Linked DNA regions of Callithrix jacchus. The protein of the gene in region 1 binds, or shares a complex with, the protein of each later gene. Links are inferred from orthologs where the notes say so. Each region holds a gene or a part of one and is shown in the gene's direction. Other genes may lie near its edges.

Region 1 (7,217 bases):
GTCTACCCGGCAGCTCCCCGCCTGCTCTTCCGTACGGTCTGTCGGGCTGTCTACCCGGCAGCTCCCCGCCTGCTCTTCCGTGTGGCCTGTCGGGCTGTCTACCGGCAGCTCCCCGCCTGCTCTTCCGTGTGGCCTGTCGGGCTGTCTACCCGGCAGCTCCCCGCCTGCTCTTCCGTGTGGCCTGTCGGGCTGTCTACCCGGCAGCTCCCCGCCTGCTCTTCCGTACGGTCTGTCGGGCTGTCTACCCGGCAGCTCCCCGCCTGCTCTTCCGTACGGTCTGTCGGGCTGTCTACCCGGCAGCTCCCCGCCTGCTCTTCCGTACGGTCTGTCGGGCTGTCTACCCGGCAGCTCCCTGCCTGCTCTTCCGTGTGGCCTGTCGGGCTGTCTACCGGCAGCTCCCCGCCTGCTCTTCCGTGTGGCCTGTCGGGCTGTCTACCCGGCAGCTCCCCGCCTGCTCTTCCGTACGGTCTGTCGGGCTGTCTACCCGGCAGCTCCCCGCCTGCTCTTCCGTGTGGCCTGTCGGGCTGTCTACCCGGCAGCTCCCCGCCTGCTCTTCCGTACGGTCTGTCGGGCTGTCTACCGGCAGCTCCCCGCCTGCTCTTCCGTGTGGCCTGTCGGGCTGTCTACCCGGCAGCTCCCCGCCTGCTCTTCCGTGTGGCCTGTCAGGCTGTCTACCCGACAGCTCCCCGCCTGCTCTTCCGTGTGGCCTGTCAGGCTGTCTACCGGCAGCTCCCCGCCTGCTCTTCCGTGTGGCCTGTCAGGCTGTCTACCCGGCAGCTCCCCGCCTGCTCTTCCGTGTGGCCTGTCAGGCTGTCTACCGGCAGCTCCCCGCCTGCTCTTCCGTGTGGCCTGTTGGGCTGTCTACCGGCAGCTCCCCGCCTGCTCTTCCGTGTGGCCTGTCAGGCTGTCTACCGGCAGCTCCCCGCCTGCTCTTCCGTGTGGCCTGTTGGGCTGTCTACCGGCAGCTCCCCGCCTGCTCTTCCGTACGGTCTGTCGGGCTGTCTACCCGGCAGCTCCCCGCCTGCTCTTCCGTGTGGCCTGTCGGGCTGTCTACCCGGCAGCTCCCCGCCTGCTCTTCCGTGTGGCCTGTTGGGCTGTCTACCGGCAGCTCCCCGCCTGCTCTTCCGTACGGTCTGTCGGGCTGTCTACCGGCAGCTCCCCACCTGCTCTTCCGTACGGTCTGTCGGGCTGTCTACCCGGCAGCTCCCCGCCTGCTTTTCCGTACGGTCTGTTGGGCTGTCTACCGGCAGCTCCCCGCCTGCTCTTCCGTACGGTCTGTCGGGCTGTCTACCCGGCAGCTCCCCGCCTGCTCTTCCGTGTGGCCTGTTGGGCTGTCTACCCGGCAGCTCCCCGCCTGCTCTTCCGTGTGGCCTGTCGGGCTGTCTACCCGGCAGCTCCCCGCCTGCTCTTCCGTGTGGCCTGTCGGGCTGTCTACCCGGCAGCTCCATGCGTGCTCTTCCGTACGGTCTGTCGGGCTGTCTACCCGGCAGCTCCCCGCCTGCTCTTCCGTGTGGCCTGTCAGGCTGTCTACCCGGCAGCTCCCCGCCTGCTCTTCCGTGTGGCCTGTCAGGCTGTCTACCCGGCAGCTCCCCGCCTGCTCTTCCGTGTGGCCTGTCAGGCTGTCTACCCGGCAGCTCTGTGCGTGCTTTCTTTCCTTGGAGCCCTGTGTCTTGGAGGCCATGGTCCTGATTGTTTCTAGACCTGCACAGTTGTTAGCCTGGGTTTTCTTGGGATCTCCTTTCACCCCTCTTCAATGTGGGACCCTCTTCGCTGAATCTTAAATGTCTCCTTTTTTTTTTAATCCCAGCAGGCATGGGAAGGTCTTTTTTTTGTTTGTTTCTTTTTTTTTGAGACAAAGTCTCGCTCAGTTGCCCATTCTAGAGTGCAGTGGCAGGATCTCAGCTCACTGCAGCCTCGGCCTCCCAGGTTCAAGCGATTTCTCTGCCTCAACCTCCTGAGTAGCTGGAATTTCAGGTGCGTGCAACCACACCCAACTGATTTTCGTATTATTAGTAGAGACAGGGTTTCACCCTCTTGGTCAGGCTGGTCTTGAACTCCTAACCTTGTGATCCACCTGCACTGGCCTCCCAAAGTGCTGGGATTACAGGCATGAGCCACCGCACTCGGCCTAATTTTTGTATTTTTCAGTAGCGACAGAGTTTCACCATGTTGGCCAGCTTGGTCTTCAACTCCTGACCTCAGGTGATCCCCCTGCCTTGGCCTGCCAAAGTGCTGGGATTATAGGTGTGAACCACTGTGCCTGGCCTAACATTGTTTTATTCATTATGCTGGGCACATGTTTTTGACTTAGGTACAGCATCTTGACTAGGGAATATAGAGAATTATTTTATTGTGAAACGTAACATATAAGAAATAAGTGTGCAACGTTTATAGATTCCTTAACAAATATTACCAGATGAACCGCTCTGTTTTCTGCTGCCGAGATGGAGAAATCAAGCCCTTTAGCACCGGACGGCCTTCGTGACCCTCCTAGTCATGACACCCATCCCCAACCAAGGGCATCAGAGTTTGGTCACAGTCACCTTCCACCTTCAGTAGTTTTCTTACCTCTCTATTTAATAATTTTTTAAAATTAAAAATAATTAATTTTTTAATATATAAAGACGGGGTTTCACCATACTGACCAGCGTGGTCTTGAACTCCTGACCTCAGGTGATCCACTCGCCTTGGCCTCCCAAAGTGCTGGGATTACAGGCATGAGCCCCTGCGCCCGGCCTTTCTTACCTCTCTAAACTGAAGAGCCAAGAGTTGTGTCTGTTTCTGCCCTTAGCATTAATGGAATCGTGCAGTCTATTTTCCTCTGTTTCTTGCTGTTTTTGCCCCGTGTCATCTGGGGGGGGTGTTCCGTGTTGCTCTGGGTAGCTAGAGTTAGCCCTTTTTGTTTTTGTGTTTTTTTTGAGATGGAGTTTCGCTCTTGTTACCCAGGCTGGAGTGCAATGGTGCGATCTCGGCTCACCTCAACCTCCACCTCCTGGGTTCAAGCAATTCTCCTACCTCAGCCTCCCGAGTAGCTGGGACTATAGGCACGCACCACCATGCCCAGCTAATTTTTTGTATTTTTAGTAGAGACGGGGTTTCACCTTGTTGACCAGGATGGTCTTGATCTCTTGACCTTGTGATCCACCTGCCTCGGCCTCCCAAAGTGCTGGGATTACAGGCGTGAGCCACCGCGCCTGGCCTGGAGTTAGCTCTTTTTGTTGCTGGGTAGCACTCCGTTGTCTGAAGGGTCCACAGCTTATTTCTCCATTTTACTGAGGATTGGACATTTGGGTTGTTTTCTGTTTTCTGCTCTCATGAATGTCTTCTCCTGTGTATTTCTTTAGGTTACGTAAGATTTCTTTAGGGTAGTTAAGAGGAGTATATTCTTTCTGACTGCCCTACCAGAAAAAAAGAAAACAAAAGAGTAATATGCCAGCTCATAGGAAAGGTGACCACATAATTACTCACTCAGGATGTTTGAGAGTCAGAGAGGGCACTGTGAGCACTTGCTGCATAATGGTCAGAACTGGGCCTGCCCTGGGCACGCTGCCCTGCCATAGAGTCTGCACATCCACACAACGCAAGACCACAGAACAGTCCTGCCCACTTGCGCTCCCACCAGCACAGTGTGAGTTCACATCCGCCCGCATCTCTGCCACAACTCGGTGTTGGCTGACTTTGGTTGTTGGCGGTCTGGTGAGCACATCATGGTGTCTAGTGCAGGCCTAGCTTTTCCCCCATTTCTCCATCAGATAAGAAAGCAGAGATAGACATCCTGGCTGCAGAGTACATCTCCACAGTGAAGACGTTGTCTCCAGACCAGCGCGTAGAGCGCCTGCAGAAGATCCAGAACGCCTACAGCAAGTGCAAGGAATACAGCGATGACAAAGTGCAGCTGGCCATGCAGACCTATGAGATGGTGAGGGTGGGGCCCAGGGCCATGCAGACCTATGAGGTGGTGAGGGTGGGGCCCGGGGCCATGCAGACCTATGAGGTGGTGAGGGCGGGGCCCGGGGGCCGTGCAGACCTATGAGGTGGTGAGGGCGGGGCCCGGAGGCCATGCAGACCTATGAGATGGTGAGGGCGGGGCCCGGGGCCATGCAGACCTATGAGGTGGTGAGGGCGGGGCCCGGGGGCCATGCAGACCTATGAGGTGGTGAGGGCGGGGCCCGGGGGGCCATGCAGACCTATGAGATGGTGAGGGCGGGGCCCGGGGCCATGCAGACCTATGAGATGGTGAGGGCGGGGCCCGGGGGCCATGCAGACCTATGAGGTGGTGAGGGCGGGGCCCGGGGGCCATGCAGACCTATGAGATGGTGAGGGCGGGGCCCAGGGCCATGCAGACCTATGAGGTGGTGAGGGCGGGGCCCGGGGGCCATGCAGACCTATGAGGTGGTGAGGGCGGGGCCCGGGGCCATGCAGACCTATGAGATGGTGAGGGCGGGGCCCGGGGGCCATGCTGACCTGCGACATGGTGAGGGCGGGGCGCGGGGGCCATGCAGACCTGCAACATGGTGAGGGCGGGGCCCCGGGGCCATGCAGACCTGCGACATGGTGAGGGCGGGGCCCGGGGGCCATGCAGACCTGCGACATGGTGAGGGCGGGGCCCGGGGGCCATGCAGACCTGCGACATGGTGAGGGCGGGGCCCGGGGGCCATGCAGACCTGCGACATGGTGAGGGCGGGGCCCCGGGGCCATGCAGACCTGCGACATGGTGAGGGCGGGGCCCCGGAGCCATGCAGACCTGCGAGATGGTGAGGGTCGGTCAGGGGCCACGGCTCTTCCTCCAACCTCTATTCCTGCCTCTCCTGCAACAAAGTGGAAAAGCTGCCCAGAAATGGGCATAGCCAAGTGGAAGTCTGGCTTTGGTAGACTGACGCTGCTGGAGAAACTACGGACTGGGGAATACACTTCATGTGGGACCATTCCTGTGTTGTTGTTTTTTTTTTTCTGGGCCTTTTTGTTTGTGTATGTGCTCAGAGGAACCATTTTTTTTTGAGACAGTCTTGCTCTGCCAGGCTGGAGTGCAGTGGTATGATCTCTGCTCAGTGCAACCTCTGCATCCTGGGCTCAAGCAATTCTCATGCCTCAGCCTCCCGAGTAGCTGGCATTATAGGCATATAGTTCCATGCCCAGCTAATTTTTGTATTTTTAGAAGAGACAGGGTTTCACCCTGTTGACCAGGCTGGTCTCAAACTCCTGACTGATCCGCCCACCTCAGCCTCTCAAAGTGCTGGATTACAAGCATGAGCCACTGTGCCCAGCCTTCAAGTGGCCATATTTATTATTGTTATTTTGAGACGTACTTTTTACTCTTGTTGCCCAGGCTGGAGTGCAATGGCACGATCTTTACTCACTGCAACCTCCTCCTCCCAGGCTGAAGCGATTCTTCTGCCTCAGCATCCCAAGTAGCTGGGATTACAGTCATGCACCACTACCAACAGGCTAGTTTTTGAATTTTTAATAGATGGAGTTTCAGTATGTTGGACAGGCTGGTCTCGAACTCCTAGCCTCAAATGATCCACCTGCCGTGGCCTCCCAGAGTGCTGGTACTATAGGTGTGAGCTACCACACCTGGCCAAAATTTTGTTTTTTTAGTAGAGACAGGATTTTATCATGTTGGTCAAGCTGGTCTTGAACTCCTGACCTCAGGTGATCTGCCTGCCTCCACCTCCCACAGCGTTGGGATTACAGGTGTGAGCCGCTGCGCCTGGCCTCTAGGTGACCGTATTTTAAGGTAAGATTCAGTGTTGGATGTCCAGCCCTTGTTCCACCACGTTTCATAACACTTCTCATTCTTGCCTACACTCACGTCTTTTCCTTAAATGGGATTTATTCCATCGCAGTTTCAAAATATACAGAAAGAGCACAAGACCCTTGGATGGACTTTGAAGGAGTGGGCCTTGTTCATCGAAGACTCAGGGAAACTGTGAGCCTGGTGGATACTCCACGTTCGCGGTTTCCGAGGCGTCCTGCTTTTACTCTAAAATGAGACTGTGCGTGTCCTTTTGTAGGTGGATAAACACATTCGAAGGCTTGATGCAGACCTGGCACGCTTTGAGGCCGACCTGAAGGACAAGATGGAGGGCAGTGACTTTGAAGGCTCCGGAGGGCGAGGACTAAAAAGCAAGTCTGTTCATTTTTTCTCTATTACTGTTAACTGTGGAGTTGTGGAGTTTTGTCACTGTGGCGAGTCACTAACTTACGATCGCGATGGTAAGTATCATATTTGGGTAAACCTTGTCTTGCAGGCTGGGCACAGCGGCTCATGCTTGTAACCCCAGCACTTTGGGAAGCCGGGACAGGAGGATTGCTTGAGGCCAGGAGTTCAAGACCAACCTGGGCAACATAGCGAGACCTCATCTCTACGAAAAGTTTAAAAATTAGCCGGGTGTGGTGGTGCACACCTGTGGTCCCAGCTACTCGGGAGGCTGAGGTGGGTGGATCGCTTTAGCCTGGGAGGTCAGTCAATGCTGTAGTGAGCTATGATTGCTCCATTGCATTCCAGTCAGCCTGGGAGACAAAGCTGGACCCCATCTTAAAAACAAAACACAAAACGTGTCTTGCTTTAGCGAATTCTATAAAAGTAATTTGCATCTTATTTTTCAGAAGGCCGGGGTCAGAAAGAAAAAAGAGCATCCCGGGGCCGAGGCAGGAGGACATCAGAGGAAGACACACCAAAGAAAAAGAAGCATAAAGGAGGGTAAGAGGCCTTCCCCTCTTTTTCCCAAGAGAGCAAATACCAATATCCTGTATCCCTGATGTAGAAACACTGATGGACGCTGACCCCTGAGTGAATGCACACTGCGTGCTGGGTGGTGTTCTGATTCTTACCGCTGCGTGCCTGTTGTCAGCCCCTCCTCGCAGCAGCCTTGGAGGGAGTGCCATCGTCAGGGCCATTTTCAGTGTCACAGGGACCTGGTGAGGCTTGAGAGCTGCTGTGGTGTGGACGGGCCTGCACCCGGAGTCTGACTGCAGCACCTGTCTCCTCTTAGCCATGGTGTATGCTTGCCCCGCTAGGGACAGGAGGGTGGGGAGCGTGCTGACGACAGGCCAATCGAAAACACTCTTTTAGTAGCTAGGTTTTTGTGTATCTGTCAGTTATTTTCTGTATCAGTATGTAGTTCCTTCATGCATATTCATTGTTAAATTATGTGGCCACATTTGTTAAATAGATGTATCATTTAACCTGAAGTTCTTTGAGAGACTTTATTTAA
Region 2 (7,240 bases), on another chromosome or scaffold:
TTTGGTATCTTATTCTATTTAAGACTTGTTTTTAACCTAGCTAAACTTTTCCCATTTTCTAAGCAAACTTTATATTCTTAAACCATTTTAATTAGTGTAAAAGTATCACAATGATTCCAGCCTCAAACATTCCTCCTAACTGTGGTTTCAGAATTCTTTTAGTCAAGTATCTAAGGAAGGAATATTCTATTAAAAATAATTTTACAATCAGTCAAGGCCTATTTTTTTTCTCATCATCCACATGTCATTAATCCAGTGGGTATTGCATCTGACCCTTGAGAATTTTCTTGGCCTGAAAAACTAATGACAATAGTGCAGCATTAACAAAGACATCCTGAAATGCCAGGAAAAAAGTGTGAGGGGGAAGTATGAAAGAAAGAGATGGGGAAATGATGATTTTTTTTATTCATGTTTGTTAGTTTTAAATAGTAAAGCCTTCTCCTATCCCAAATAAGTTGGTTTCTACTTACAGCTGGACGATTTTTAAAAACAACTATTTGAAATCAAAGGTCCATGCCCCCGTTTGTTGAATTTAATTGATGTATGGTTTATTGGAAAGGCCAGGGGCTGGTGAATTTAAACCATTTAAAATAGCAAAAGATTAAAGTGAATCAAATTTAGTGCTTCTGGGATTTTTGATATATGTTCCAAATTTGTTTTTAATAACATAATTGCTCCATGTTACATTTAAGATTACATCACAGGGAACTGGTTATGCGTGCAGTTATGCTCATAGAAACCAATTCCAAATGTCAAAAGTAAGAGTGAGGACAACTGTAATGTTATCATTAAAAAAGTAGAAGTTGGAAATGGAAGAGAAATACTTAGGTTGAATAAGTTCTTAATATGAAAGCTTTGAACAGAAAAACCTGAAAAAAATAACACGCACTAGGTTGACTTAATGCCTTTTCAACAGCATTTAAGTCATTATTTTGCTTTCAAGTAGAAACCAGTGCATTTTCTCAAGGTATTTTATTCATTCATTTTAGTGGAAAAAGACAGTTCCTGATTACACAAATGGGAATTGTGCTAAATAAATTTTGAGAACATCCATCAAGAAATAAAAGTTACTAGTCATATGTACAAATGGTTATTACATTTCATCTTTTCTAAAAGAACAAGAAATTCGGTATAGTTTCTTTTAGTTTTCAGACTTTTTTTTTTTTCTTAACTAAAAGTACTGTAATTGTAATATTCTCTTGCCTCTGGGGCTTTCCTTTCCACAATTAATCATCTTTTCTTCCACACCTTCCCTCCAAATGATTATTCCCCTTAGTTTCAGAACACTTGACGTTAATTCGTACTATTTTCACAGCTTTCAAAACATTGCCCTGCCCTTGCTTAGTTCCACGAGCCACCCCCCCTGCTTTTAAAAAATTGGTTAACAGAAGCATTTTTGTACTATCTCTTTGCCAGAAGATGCTACCATTTACTTGGGAACAACTTTGAGATACTAATTAGCTTCCTTACTCAAACTTTTGAATTTGAAACTCTCTATATTTAAATTCCTTAGGCTAACAAACATCTATACTTCAAAAGTAGCAGTATGTTCACTTTAAACATTCAGAAAACTTGGATCCTAAGACTTTATCCTTCATCCTCCTGACTCTAGAATACATGTCCTTGATCATCAGAATCAAGCAAGAAATTGAGTCTCACCAGCTTCAACACAAGTGTTGGCAAAGGAAACACTTTCAAATTGTCATTCATATGCACATTTACAGGTAGCTTACCCATACATCCTTTATAAACATCATTACGCATTGGTGCTTAAGACTTCAGTCATATGAGGTAAGCTTTCCAGTTTATAGGCAAAAGGGGGTGGCAATGGAGCCCTTTTTTTTTTTTTTTTTTAAATCAAAACAAAATCCAGTTTGGTCTGATGCTGCCATTTGTCAAGCATCTTTTAGAAAGCCGCCTAGTGCATTAAATTAACCAGCTCCTAACCAAATCAGGTTTAAAGTGTTTCCCATGCCCACAGTGACAGACGAGTTACCATACTTAAGTAGACTGTCAAAACTTTTACGTTTACTCTTTTAAAACGGGAAAGTCAGTTTTTGTTTTTTTTTTTTTTTAAGGATGTGTGGTGAGGAACAAGACGCTCACCTGTACATAACAAAGGCAGGTCTTTCCCGGTTGTCCTCACTGGGGGAGGGGCTGGACAATCCCAAGACCTTTGTCCTCAGGTATTAGGCATTGGGGGTTGGGGGAGACGCGACTTTCTGGGAGTCGTGTAGGCACCGGCACCCAAGAAACTACAGACCGCCTTTGACCTCAGTGACTGCCCTGGCTTTGGAGGGGCCCTTTAGTTTGGGGAGGGGGCTTGCTGCCCCAAACCATAGCCACATCACCCATAAGGACTGGGGAGGTAATGACTGACCACTCAAGAGTCAGGGACCCCTGTCTCTCCCAACTAGACCCGAACGTCCCCAGCCCTCTCGTCGGGCTCGCCCCGTGGCGGGCAGGGCCATGGTGCGCTGGGATCTCGGCGGGCGCAGATCCAGTCTCTGCTCGGCGCCCCCGCCGCGCCCGCACCGCCACCGTGAGGCCGAGCCGGGGACGGTGCCCCGTGGCGGCGGCGGCGCCTCCACTCTCCTCTCCGCACCGCCCCGGCCGCCGCCGCGCCGGGAACGAGTGGGGGGCTTTTTTTCCCGTTTCCCCCTCTTTCGCGCTCTCGCTCCTGTTCTGCGGGAGAGCCCGCAGAGTCAGGGAGGGAACGAGGGAAGGGGTGGAGGTGGCGGGGGGAGGCCGGAGGGGCGGATCCTGCCTGGGGGCTGATCCCTCCCTCCCCTCGGCCGGGCTCCGTGGCGGCAGCGGCAGCAGCGGCGGCTCCATTCCCCCTCCTCCCCCGGGAGCGGCGGCGGCGGCCGGGCAGGGGCCCTAGCGCGGGCCGGGAAGGGGCACGGCGGAGGCCGCGGAGGCAGGCGCGGGAGGAGACCGCGCTCCGCTTCCCGGGCCACGCCAACCTGCTCGGCGGCCAGCCCGCCCGCGCCCAGGGGCCCCGAACGGTGGGGCCGGGCCGGCGGCTGAGGTAATGGGGGCGGCAGCGGGGCCGGACAGAGCGGGGGCGGGGGCAGCGGGGCCTATGGGGACCAGGGACTGCACGGGGGGAAACCGGAGAAGCGGGGGGCTTTCCGAGCAGGGCGGGGGCGGTGCGAAAGCTCTCTCCTGGAGCGAGGGCGGCGGCAGGGAAGGAGAAGGCGGGTGAGCGGGGGAGCTGAAAAGCGAGGACCCCCTCCCGCAGTCGCCATCTTGTCTCCCCCCAAGCCCTGGAAGCCAAGCTGCCAAGCCCCGCCCCCGCCACGCCTTCCAATTGGCCTGGCCAGAGGAGAGTTCCGCCCCTTGAGCGTCCCTTAGTCCCCCGGGTCCCCCTGACGGGCAGGTGGGGCGGCCAATGGGCTCTCGCCTCTCTGTCCAGCTCACTCGCTGGCGCTCGCTTTCTCTGTCTGAGGGTCGGACTCCGCGTCAGACTGTCTCTGGTGCGCTCGCCCCCTCCCCTCTGAGATGTTATTTCCCTCCTTTCTTCTCCGAGGGGTCAAGATTCTTCTGGAAGAGGTGCCCCCTTAAAGGGGCAGGAGCCTTGGCTGGGGACGTCCCTTGTCTCCTATCTTGTGTAGGGAGCAGGGGATACAGTCTCATTGCAGAAGCTCTTCATTCTTCGGGGACCTGGGTGGGTGAGCCAGCGGGGGTTCAGGGGGTGCCGAGAGGAAATCTTGGGGGCGGAGGATGTTGGAGATATTTTGGAGGTGTGTATGTGGGAACGGCTTTGTAGGTTGAGAAACTCCCGCCAAAAAACTCGTCTAGACTGTAAGCTCCTTGTGGGCGAAACTCATTTCATTTCCCTCAGCAGCAGCCCTTCCCGCTGTAGAGTTTCTCCCCGGTGTCTGGAGGCGTGGGTGGGACAAAACACGTCTGTGTGGAGACTTGCGTGGTCGAGAGATGCCTGAGCAGCCGAGGAGGTGGCAGGTGGGGAGGGAGAAGCTGGAGCGGCTTTCAGGAAAGGGGGCGCCGCACCGCCTGTCTGCTGTTTGGGGTCGGTGTGGAGGCAGATGTTCTCACCTCCTAGGGCCTCCGTGCCTTTGGAGGGGTGGGTGATGAAGCAGGTCTGTTAGCCCTGTCTGCCCCCAGGGACTTGGCATTTGTAAGGAATCCAGTGGCCAAGGGCCTCTGGAACCCGGACAGAATTGCTGCAATGATTCTGTTTCCTTTGGCTCCAAGTGGGGTGTGTGCCATCCCGCCTGGCACTGCTCCTCAGCCAAATTGTTTTTTTGTTTGTTTCAGTCACACTTTGGGATTGGAAGCCCTTTCAAATAAGGATGTTAATAATACCTTATTAACAAGTAGCACCTTGAGAGCTAGATTGTATTACTATCATTTTACTGATGGAGTGGGGAGGCATAGAGAACTTAGGGGACTTTCTCCAGGTCACAGAGGGCCAAGATTAGAACCTAGGTTGCCCCAGAGCCTCCTTTTGTACTAGACCACAGCACCTCTGTGGTGTTTTTAATTCCCACTGAGATGAATTGAGCATTAGAAGATCTGGGTTCAAAGTGTAGCTTTATCACTTACTAGCATTAGGTTAAGTCACATCTTTCTGAGCTTCTAGGTAGATGATAGTAGCTATACCATCTCCTAAGGTAGCTGTGAGAAATATTAAAAGTAAGTGTGCTTTGTAATTTGGAAAAAGTGCTTTTATTATCACAGTCTCTACTTTATAAATGAATTGTTTTCTCTTTGAAATCTTCTCCCTGTTCATATCTTTCCAAGTCTGCCCACACCATGGGGCCCTGTATCCCCAAAGGTCTCTTCTGGTGGTGACAACCTTGATGACTACCTATAGTTCCTCCTGAGCTTGTTGTAGTTCCCTTCATCCAGAGAATGGTGTGGGAAACTAGGGCTTTCTCTTGGCTGTACAAGGATAGACTAGATATAAGTATTCTGGGAGAGACTTTTGAGGTAACAATGCATTGAGAGTTTACCTCAGATACTGCCCAGATCATACTGACTTTGGGTCGAATGAAGGTCCCAGACAGGCCCCTACAACTTCAGAGATCTCTTGGAGCCACTTCAGAGCTTCTAGGGTTTGTTTCTGCCTGGAAATGTGCTAGCTGATATATCTTGGATCCTGGGTCCCCGACCCCCAAGGCCATGGACTGGTACCGGTCAGTGGCCTGTTAGGAACCAGGCCGCACAGCAGAAGGTGAATGGTGGGTGAGTGAGCATACCAGAGCTCTACCTTCTGTCAGATAAGTGGCTGCATTGGATTCTTAAAGGAGTGTGAACTCTGTTGTGAACTGTGCATGTGAGGGATCTAGGTTGCATGCTCCTTATGAGAATCTGACTAATGCCTGATGATCTGAGGTGGAACAGTTTAAACAACCACCCACCCTCAGATGTGGAAAAATTGTCTTCCATGAAACCAGTCCCTGGTGCTAAAAAGGTTGGGGACCACTGTCCTGGATGCTGCTTTTTGTAGGGAATACCCTGCATACTATAGTTTGAAGCCCTTCGTCTGTGTATGATAGGCATTTCAGATGCCCTTACCCCTTCACCTCTAGGCAGGATCGAGGAGTAGGGTTTCTGATCATGGTAAGATGTATTGGGAGAAGACACTAGACTTGTGAAGTTTTGATCCTCTGATGGGGCCCATTGTTCATGTACAGAGCTTGACAGTGGATGCTGTTCTTGTTTTCTTCTTTTCTAAGCCCTTAACTACTCATGCCTTTTCCATAGTTAGCTGTCGCACAGCTTTATGTACATCATTAGAGCATTAGATTGTTCCCTATGTTAAGTTGTAATAATCTGTTTACTTTTCTGTTGCTTCAGTTAGTCAGGGCTCCTTGAGGGCAGGGATCATATGTATTTGATTTTTCCTTTCATTCAACTAATACTTATTGAGTGGTTATTTAAGAGCTAAGCACTGCTCCAGGAACTGAGGATACAGCAGTGAACAAGGCAAACAAAAATCTTCCTCATGGAGCTTACATTCTAGTGGAAAGAAGGAAACAAAAAAACATAGTAGTAGATAAATTATGTAGCATGGTATAAGATGGTGAGTGTTAAAGGGAAAAATATAGCAGAATGAAAGGTAGATTGCTGGTGGAGGAAAAGGATTTGCAATTTTAGATAAAGTAGTCAGAGAAGGTCTCACTGAGAAGTGTTGTTCACTTGAAGAAATGAAAGACTCAGAGGAGGTGAAGGAGCAGGCCATGTGGATGCCTGAGAGACAGGTTCTTCAGGCAGAGGGGACAGCCAGTCCTCTTGGTGGATCCCTTATCATATGAGAGGATGAATGGGCGCATAAGGGCATGAACATCCAACTCATAGTCTCCTGGCTTTCTCTCCTTAGGCCTGTCCCCTCAGTTCCCAGGTGCCATGAGGAAGCCTCGTCGGAAGTCCCGGCAGAATGCCGAGGGCCAGCGTTCCCCATCCCCCTACAGTCTCAAGTGCTCACCCACCCGGGAAACCCTGACATATGCCCAGGCCCAGCGGATTGTTGAGGTAGACATTGACGGACGCCTGCATCGTATCAGCATCTATGATCCACTCAAAATCATCACTGAGGATGAGCTAACTGCCCAGGATATCACTGAATGCAATAGTAACAAGGAAAACAGTGAACAGCCTCAGTTCCCTGGCAAGTCCAAGAAACCCTCATCCAAGGGCAAAAAGAAGGAATCCTGCTCCAAGCATGCATCTGGTACTTCCTTCCACCTCCCACAGCCCAGCTTCCGTATGGTGGACTCAGGCATCCAGCCAGAAGCACCCCCGCTGCCTGCTGCCTACTACCGGTACATTGACAAGCCACCTGAAGACCTGGATGCAGAGGTAGAGTATGACATGGATGAGGAGGACCTTGCTTGGCTGGACATGGTGAATGAAAAGCGGCGAGTAGATGGGCACAGTTTGGTGTCTGCAGACACCTTTGAGCTGCTGGTAGACCGGCTTGAGAAAGAGTCATACTTGGAGAGTCGTAGCAGTGGTGCCCAACAGTCACTCATTGATGAAGATGCTTTTTGCTGTGTGTGCCTGGATGATGAATGTCACAATAGCAACGTTATTCTCTTCTGTGACATCTGCAACCTGGCAGTACACCAGGAGTGCTACGGTGTCCCCTACATCCCTGAGGGCCAGTGGCTATGCCGCTGCTGCCTGCAGTCTCCCTCCCGGCCTGTGGATTGCGTCCTCTGCCCCAATAAGGGTGGCGCCTTCAAACAGACCAGTGATGGGCACTGGGCCC
Region 3 (7,134 bases), on another chromosome or scaffold:
GAAGGAAAGGTAAGAAAATATCTTCAGGATCCAGAGCTAGATGAAGATTTCTTAGACATGAAACAAAAAACATGATACATACATGCAAAAATTGATAAATTGGACATCATCAAAATTTAAAATTTGGTCTGAAAAATCTCTTAAGAAGATGAAAAGACCAGCTACAGACAGGGAAAAATATTTGCAGATCACATCTGGCAGGGGAATTATTTCTAGAATATAGTATACAGAATTCTCAAAATTTAACAGAAGGAAACAATCCAATTAGAAAATGGGCGAAATACTTGAATGGACATTTCACCAAAGAGGTTATACAGATGGCAAATAAGCACATGAAAAGATGCTCAACATCATTAGCCATTAAGGAAATGCAATTTATAACAACAATGAGATATATCACTACACATCTATTAGAATGGCTAAAAGAAAAAGATAGTGATAATACCAAATGCTGACAAAGATGTGGGGAAACTAGATCTCTCATACATTACTGGTGGTAATATAAAATGCTATAGTCTAGAAAAGTTTGGCATTGTCTTATAACACTAAATATACACTTATCATCTGACCCAGCAATTGCACTCCTGGGCACTTGTCACAGAGAAATGAAAACTTAGGTTTACCCAAAAACTTCTACATTAATGCTCATAGCAGTTCTATTCTTAATAGGCAAACATTGGAAACAACTCAAATGACTTTCAATGCATTAATAAACAAACTGTGGTACATCCATACTATAGAATACTACTCAGTAATAAAAAGCAATGAATTATTGAGACATGCAACAAATGAACACATCTCAAGAAAATTATGCTGAGTGAAGAAAAGCTGATTTCAAAAGGTATGATTCCATTTATGTAATATTCTTGAAATCACAAAATTATAGAGATAGAGAACGTTAGGGGTTGCCAGAAATTATAGTAGGAGAAGCGGTGACTGTGACGACAAAATGTAGCAGGAGGAATCTTTGTGATAGAGAAAAAGTTGATTGTGGTGATTACACAAATTTAAATGTGTTAAAATTGCACAGAACTATATACACAGACTCAGAAATCAGTGCATGTAAAACTGATGAAATTTGGATAAGGTCTGTGGATTGTATTAGTGTCAATATCTTGGTTTTGATATTGTATTATAGTTATCTATTACCATTGGGGAAAACTGGATGAAGGGGTACATGGAACCACTCTGTAAATTTTTTTTTTACAACTTCTGGCGAATCCGTAATTATTTTACAATGAGGTAAGTCTGAAGGACTATGAATATTTTAGAACTCACACATTTCTATATTACGGAATATAACTACGTCTTTAATATGGAAAACAGACAAAATACAGAAGAGCCTACATTATCGTTCACCATAGAAATGTAAATGAAAATAGGCCAGCACGGTAGCTCACGCCTGTAATCCCAGCATTTTGGGAGGCCCATGTAGGCAGATAGCTTGAGCTTAAAAGTTCAAGACCAGCCTGAGCAACATAGTGAAACCCTCTCTACCATAAATAAATAAATAAGCCGGGCCATAGTGGCATGCGCCTGTAGTCCCAGCTACTTGGGAGGCTGAGTTGGGAGAATCACTTGAGCCCGGGATGCGGAGGTTGCAGGGAGCTAAGAGGTTGCAGTGAGCCGAGATCGAGCCACTGCATTCAGACCTGGCAACAGAAGGAGACTGACTCGAAAAAAAAAAAAGAAAGAAAGAGAATGACTATGAGTTCATCATAGCTGCATATAGTACGTTTCCAAACGCAGAGAGGTAAACCAAAAAGGTTTGTTGCTTAAGCATCCATATTAGGATTCAACCAAAGGGTCAGAACCAGTAGAAAATCATAAACACACACACACACACACACACACACACACACACACACACACACGGCGCCCAGCCTGCCAGAAGAATGCGTGGTGGAAATATATATATATATGTATACACACACACACATATATACATTCTCTGTTCATTCATTCCTTCAAAGCTATTGTCTTAGACGATTGTAGTGGTGGCTAAGTAAATCTAAAATCTGTAGGGCAGGCAGTCAGGAAGGGAAGATCAGGAGCAGGCTGGAACCAATGGACACCGGCCAAAGGTGTCATCCATCCACAGGCGAAATTCTTTTTCTCTGACCTACTCAGCACCCTCAGTCCTGATTGAAAGGCTTTCCAACTGATTCCGTCAGGCCCACGTAGATTATCCAGGATTATCTCCCTAACTTTAAGTCAACTGATTAGGAGCTTTAATTACATCAGCAAAATACCTCTAGAACACCTAGATTGGCATTCAATTGAATAACTGTGGGCTATAGCCTAACCAGTGGACACATGGAAAAAGCCACACAACATCACAAACCACCTGTGCTGGCAACTGAATAAACGAATTCTGTTAATAGCGACCTTGGCTTTATTATTACAGGTAATTCAAGCACAAGCGACATAAATCAATAGCGGCCGCGAGTTGATGTATGAGAGTCCCACTTTGGAACTTCAGAGTTGGAAGGGGCCATGAAAAGCTTAGTCTGTATTTCAGCACAGCCGAGGCAACTGCACCTCGTCCTCTCTAGCGCTCGGCGGGGCTGGGGCGTCTCGGCAGTGGCGCGCCCAGCTGGACCGGAGGGGAGCCCACCTGGAACCCTGCTCCGCGGGTGCGGGAGCTGCGAGTGGGCGGGGCGTCGAGGCGGCGGGTGGCGACGGCGCTCAGCCCGCCAGAAGAACGCGCGGCGGGCAGACGGCTGGGAGCCGCTCCGGTAGGGCGAGCGCGGCCGGCGGTGGGTGGGAGGAGAGGTTGGGGGAGGAAGGAAAGGGAAGAGGCGGAGCGTGGGAGCGCACAGTGTCAGGAATACAATAGTGCTCCGCGCCGCCTCAGCCGCCGCCGCCGCCCAACCGCCTGCCCAGCGCTGAGGCCTGACGGGCCGGGCGGACCAGGGCCGAGGGCGGGAGCTGAGGCGTGGGGGGCGGCCCCGGCGGGGGGCGGGGGCGAGGAGGGGATTAAGGGGCAGGTGCGAGGGAGGGAAGAGAAGAAAGCGAGCGGTTAGGGGGGCGGTTACCACTCTGACTGGACTCGCCCGGCACATTGCCGGGCCGCGGCGTGGAGCCGTGCAGGAGCCGCGAGCCAGCTGCACTAAGGTAGGCGCCGCGGAGGCCGGACGCGGCGCGGGCGAGGGTGGGGGCGTCGCGCCGGGTGGGCGGCGGGAGCGGCGGCCTCCGGGAGTGGAAGCGGGCGGCGCGGAGCGCACAGTCCCGGCCCGGCCTCGCCGCGCTTCGGGTCGCTCTGGTTCCACATCGTGGTCGCCTCCGGCGTCCCCGGCGCCTTGGGGCCGAGAGCGTGTGTGGGCTGAGGTAAAGTGCCTAGTGGCCCCTCTGCCGGCCCGGGCAGTGCCTGGTGGCGGGGGGCGGGGGCGGACGCGCGAGCTCGGCTGCAGCTCCCGGCTACACCGGGCAGGAATTGAGCGCCATAACTGTTGCGGCTCTTTCCTCCGGTGCCCCCTCCTGGCGCCCCCTCCTCTGTCCCTGCCCTTTGCCTGGGTCCGGGGCTGACGGGGCCAGACCCGAGGCGGGAGGACCTGCTCTGTCTGCCGCCAGGGGTCGGATGCTCTAGGGAGCGAGGGCGCGCCCTGGCTGTTTCAGATGTTGGGGGGCGGAAAGAACCGAGTGCCTGGAGAGGGGAGGACGAGCGGTGCTGGGAGCGGCGAGGTAACCCGGGAAGCCCGGGGTGCTCACCCGGCGGGAGCGGGAGCGCGGGCGCCCCGCGGGCCGGCGAACTTTCCCTCCCGCTGGCGTCATTGTTCGAACTGCAGGTCCGTGGCCGCCGAGCGCCCGGCGGTCCCGGGGTGGGAAAATCGTGAGGGTTTGCTAGTTTTTCGGGAAATTTTCCCACCGTTGGGCACGGCAAAGTTAACTTTTCTCCAGCTTTCGAGTTCGTTTTATTCCCTCCTCCCCGGGGGCCGTAGATTTTTTTTTTTTTTTTTTTTTTTTTTTGATAGCCTTCAGTCTTTTCTCCCGCTTTTCAGAGCAGAGCCAGTGGTTCGGTGGAGTCTGGCTTTAAATTGCACAGGGCAGCCTGAGTTTATTATTTGTGGGGAGGGAGTGGCGGGATCTCGAGTGAGTGGCCACAATGGTGGTATGTTGGAGGCATGTTTCAAAGTTTTTATCGCTGTGCAGCCCTGGGACATATGTAGCTACTAGGGGATTTGGCAAGAAACTTGTTTGGCCGCTTCTCCGACTTTGAGTTGCAAGGAAATCCGTGGCCTCAGATGTGCGCGAGTTGTTTGTGTGTGTGTGTGCGTGTGCGCTCCGTGAGATGCGTTTATCTATGAGGATGAGATTGCTCCCTCCCGCCGTCTGATTGTGTAAGAAGTCAAAACCGTGTGGAAGGTGATTCCAGTGGTAGCCTGGAGGGAAAGGCGACCTCATTCCCTGTGTTCGGTCTGATAAAGTGAACTGCTGCTCTCTAAACTTAGGAAGTAATGAAAAGTAATTTAGGTAAAAACTGGTTGCACAACATCTTTGCTTAGTTTAAGCAACCCAGAATCCACTTTCCCAGACCGGTTCGCCTCTTTAATACTTTCCCTGCAGCCACTTCTTGTCAGTCTAGGCTGGGAGCCGGTAAGAGTGGGGCTGAGAGAGGAGAGGAGTCGGTCTGAACAAAGCATTGTGCTTTTACTTAGTTTAATACTTCCAAAACATCTGTAGACAATGGGAATGTGGATCCCGGCCTCTGCACCCTTTGAGTGATGTGGTTCTCATGCTTTTGTAGCATCATGTGATTACTGTTCGGATAAGTGAAAATAGATTTTTTCTTCTTTTTCGTTTAACCTAGGAGTATTCTACCTTCATAACATCATTTTCTCTTTCATTTAAAGTGAGCTCTGAGCTTAAATACTTAAACTGTAAAAGGATAATACCCTCTCTTCAAGGATTACCTGAGATCTCTGAGAAGTGTTTCAGTGCCCAGCATGTATTCAACTCTCAATCGATGTTAACCCACCATCATTGCCACCTTTTCTGCAGTTGTGCTCTTCTTTACGCTTTTGTTTGCTAGAGAATAGCTTTTAACCCAGTATTGTTGCCTTGCATTTTCTGTTCAGTCAATTCTGGAATACTCAGGGGTACAAGTCTGGCTCTAGAATTCACACTTTCTCTCTCCCCTCTTCTCTGAGTCATATTGCTTGCCCTCGGCAATGCGATGTGAATCTGGTTACAGGAAGAAAAAAGTAGAAAAAGGCTTTCCACTCCTCCCTGAAGTGTTTGTGACCCACCTTTAGGACCATAAGAGAGATTCCCAGGAGCAAGACAGGTGATGGTGCAGGGCTGGCATCATAGCTGAGAAGTGTGGGTTGGTGAAAGTTAAAGAAGAAAGGGTGTTGAATTGTAGGTTTAATATGGTCCTCTCCTTTAATAATGCTTGTCTTTTCCCTCTCTTGTATTCCACCAACTATAGCAACTATTTTTTTTTTCCTAACCTACACAAAGCATCTTCTTTCTGCCCACAACTTTGAGGTCTGGCTGGAACTAGGCAAGTGTTTTGGAGGAGGTGGGGGAGGTAGGAGGCATCAGGTGTTAGTAAAGACATGGCATTATGGAGGGCTCTTACAAACCTTGATCAGAGACAGAGACAGTCCAAAAATGAAGTTGAACATTATCATGGGACATAATGCACCAACCTCCTCATGCAGCTTACACAAAAGGAGCCGAGAAGATAGAGGTAATATGCTGTCTCACATTAAGAAAATCTCTCATTGAGGTATAATTTACTATGATCTTGACTTGCTCCACAATATAGGTGAGGAGTGTTGGGTGACACCCATCTGGCACTCTCCTAACATGGGGACACTTAAATGGCTCACAGGTTTCTGTTGTTCCAGTTACAGTGGCTGGGAAAGCTGAAGCATTCTGGTTTGTGTGGTGGGGAGGATCTAGGATGAATGGGTAGAAGTGATGAAAGAATAAACGGGTACTAGAAAGTAAGTGGTCATTACAGACCAAATAACTACCACTTTGAGTTTTCTGTTTTCTGGAATCTTTGTGACTCCCCCATGGTTATTTTTGCCTTCTTCCATAGACAATAGCAGAAAGCTCTTACCATCAGAACTGCCTCTGTGCTTTTCTTGGGAGAAAGTAAGAAAAAAAAAAGGTCCCAGGAAAAACTTGCCTGATTTCATAGCGAGGCTTGGGAAAAGGAAGGTAAGAACTTAGAAGGCAGCCGACTGAGGAAAGTAAAGGTCCTGGTGTGGGGAAATAGTACGGGGGCTTTGACACCTATGAGCTCATCAGTACTTTACAAGCAGCAAGTAATTTAATCTTTGCCACAACCCAGGAACCATGGCTGTGCCTTGCTACCCAAGGAGCTACTTTTCCCTTGGCATTGGCTGATGGTCAAGGAAACCCGAGCCTAGAATGTGCTTTTTTTTTGAGACAGCTGACAAGAAAATATGATACCAGCATGGCCAATACACTAGACTTTGTGTGTTGGAATCTTCTGAGACACATTCTTTTCTAGATTTTAAAAATTTATTTTGATAATTATGAAATGTTGCAAGAATAGTACAAAGAACTCACTATATTCCCAATTGTTAAGAGTTTGCTCTCATTTGCTTTATCACTTGTTCTTTTTCTTTTTCCAAACCATTTGTTAGTAATCACTGAGATGTATTATTTGTTCTTTCTTTCAAACCATTTGTTAGTAATCACTGAGAGATTGCTACTTATCAAGGGCATTCTGTCCAGAACAGTGGCTCGGGTGCAGCCATTGGGTATAGCAGAACAGTGGTGGTGAGGCAGGGCCCCAGAGGCAGAGCAAAGTATACCTATAGCTGTGAAGCACACATTTGTAAACTGTGTAGAATCTCTAGGACTAGATTTAGAAATCATTATCAGTTGTAAAAGTGGTTAAGATAAACCCCACTTTTCTCACGATTCTTGTCAAGTTTGTTCTTAACTATGCCAAACTTGAATATTGTTAATGAAAATTCACTCCACTCACCAACTTTGCAGCAATAATATATTCTCCAACATTTTCATTTAATTCATTCAGCAAACATGTATTGAATACCTTCTGTTTGCTAGGGGTATAAGAGATGAAAGATAATCATCCCCTTTACAGCTCAACTTCCAGTGGAAAGGAATTAAGTCATCTTCTCACAG

The links.
Region 2: ING5 (region 1) and BRPF3 share a complex: the UniProt entries of both Homo sapiens proteins name them as parts of the MOZ/MORF complex. The link is inferred for Callithrix jacchus from reciprocal best matches to the Homo sapiens genes ING5 and BRPF3.
Region 3: ING5 (region 1) and JADE3 share a complex: the UniProt entries of both Homo sapiens proteins name them as parts of the HBO1 complex. The link is inferred for Callithrix jacchus from reciprocal best matches to the Homo sapiens genes ING5 and JADE3.

Annotation. Positions count from the first base shown.
Region 1 is NC_133507.1:162,983,155-162,990,371, forward strand, and holds the start of ING5 (inhibitor of growth protein 5), read left to right. Parts: upstream 1-3,295; 5' UTR 3,296-3,429; coding exon 3,430-3,628; intron 3,629-3,752; coding exon 3,753-3,919; intron 3,920-6,014; coding exon 6,015-6,216; exon of another isoform or gene 6,217-6,436; intron 6,437-6,609; coding exon 6,610-6,703; intron 6,704-7,217. UniProt on the Homo sapiens protein: Component of the HBO1 complex, which specifically mediates acetylation of histone H3 at 'Lys-14' (H3K14ac) and, to a lower extent, acetylation of histone H4. Component of the MOZ/MORF complex which has a histone H3 acetyltransferase activity.
Region 2 is NC_133505.1:44,504,670-44,511,909, forward strand, and holds the start of BRPF3 (bromodomain and PHD finger-containing protein 3), read left to right. Parts: upstream 1-2,804; 5' UTR 2,805-3,031; intron 3,032-3,444; exon of another isoform or gene 3,445-3,746; intron 3,747-6,349; 5' UTR 6,350-6,375; coding exon 6,376-7,240. UniProt on the Homo sapiens protein: Scaffold subunit of various histone acetyltransferase (HAT) complexes, such as the MOZ/MORF and HBO1 complexes, which have a histone H3 acetyltransferase activity.
Region 3 is NC_133524.1:47,871,765-47,878,898, forward strand, and holds the start of JADE3 (protein Jade-3), read left to right. Parts: upstream 1-2,698; 5' UTR 2,699-2,738; intron 2,739-2,818; exon of another isoform or gene 2,819-3,117; intron 3,118-7,134. UniProt on the Homo sapiens protein: Scaffold subunit of some HBO1 complexes, which have a histone H4 acetyltransferase activity.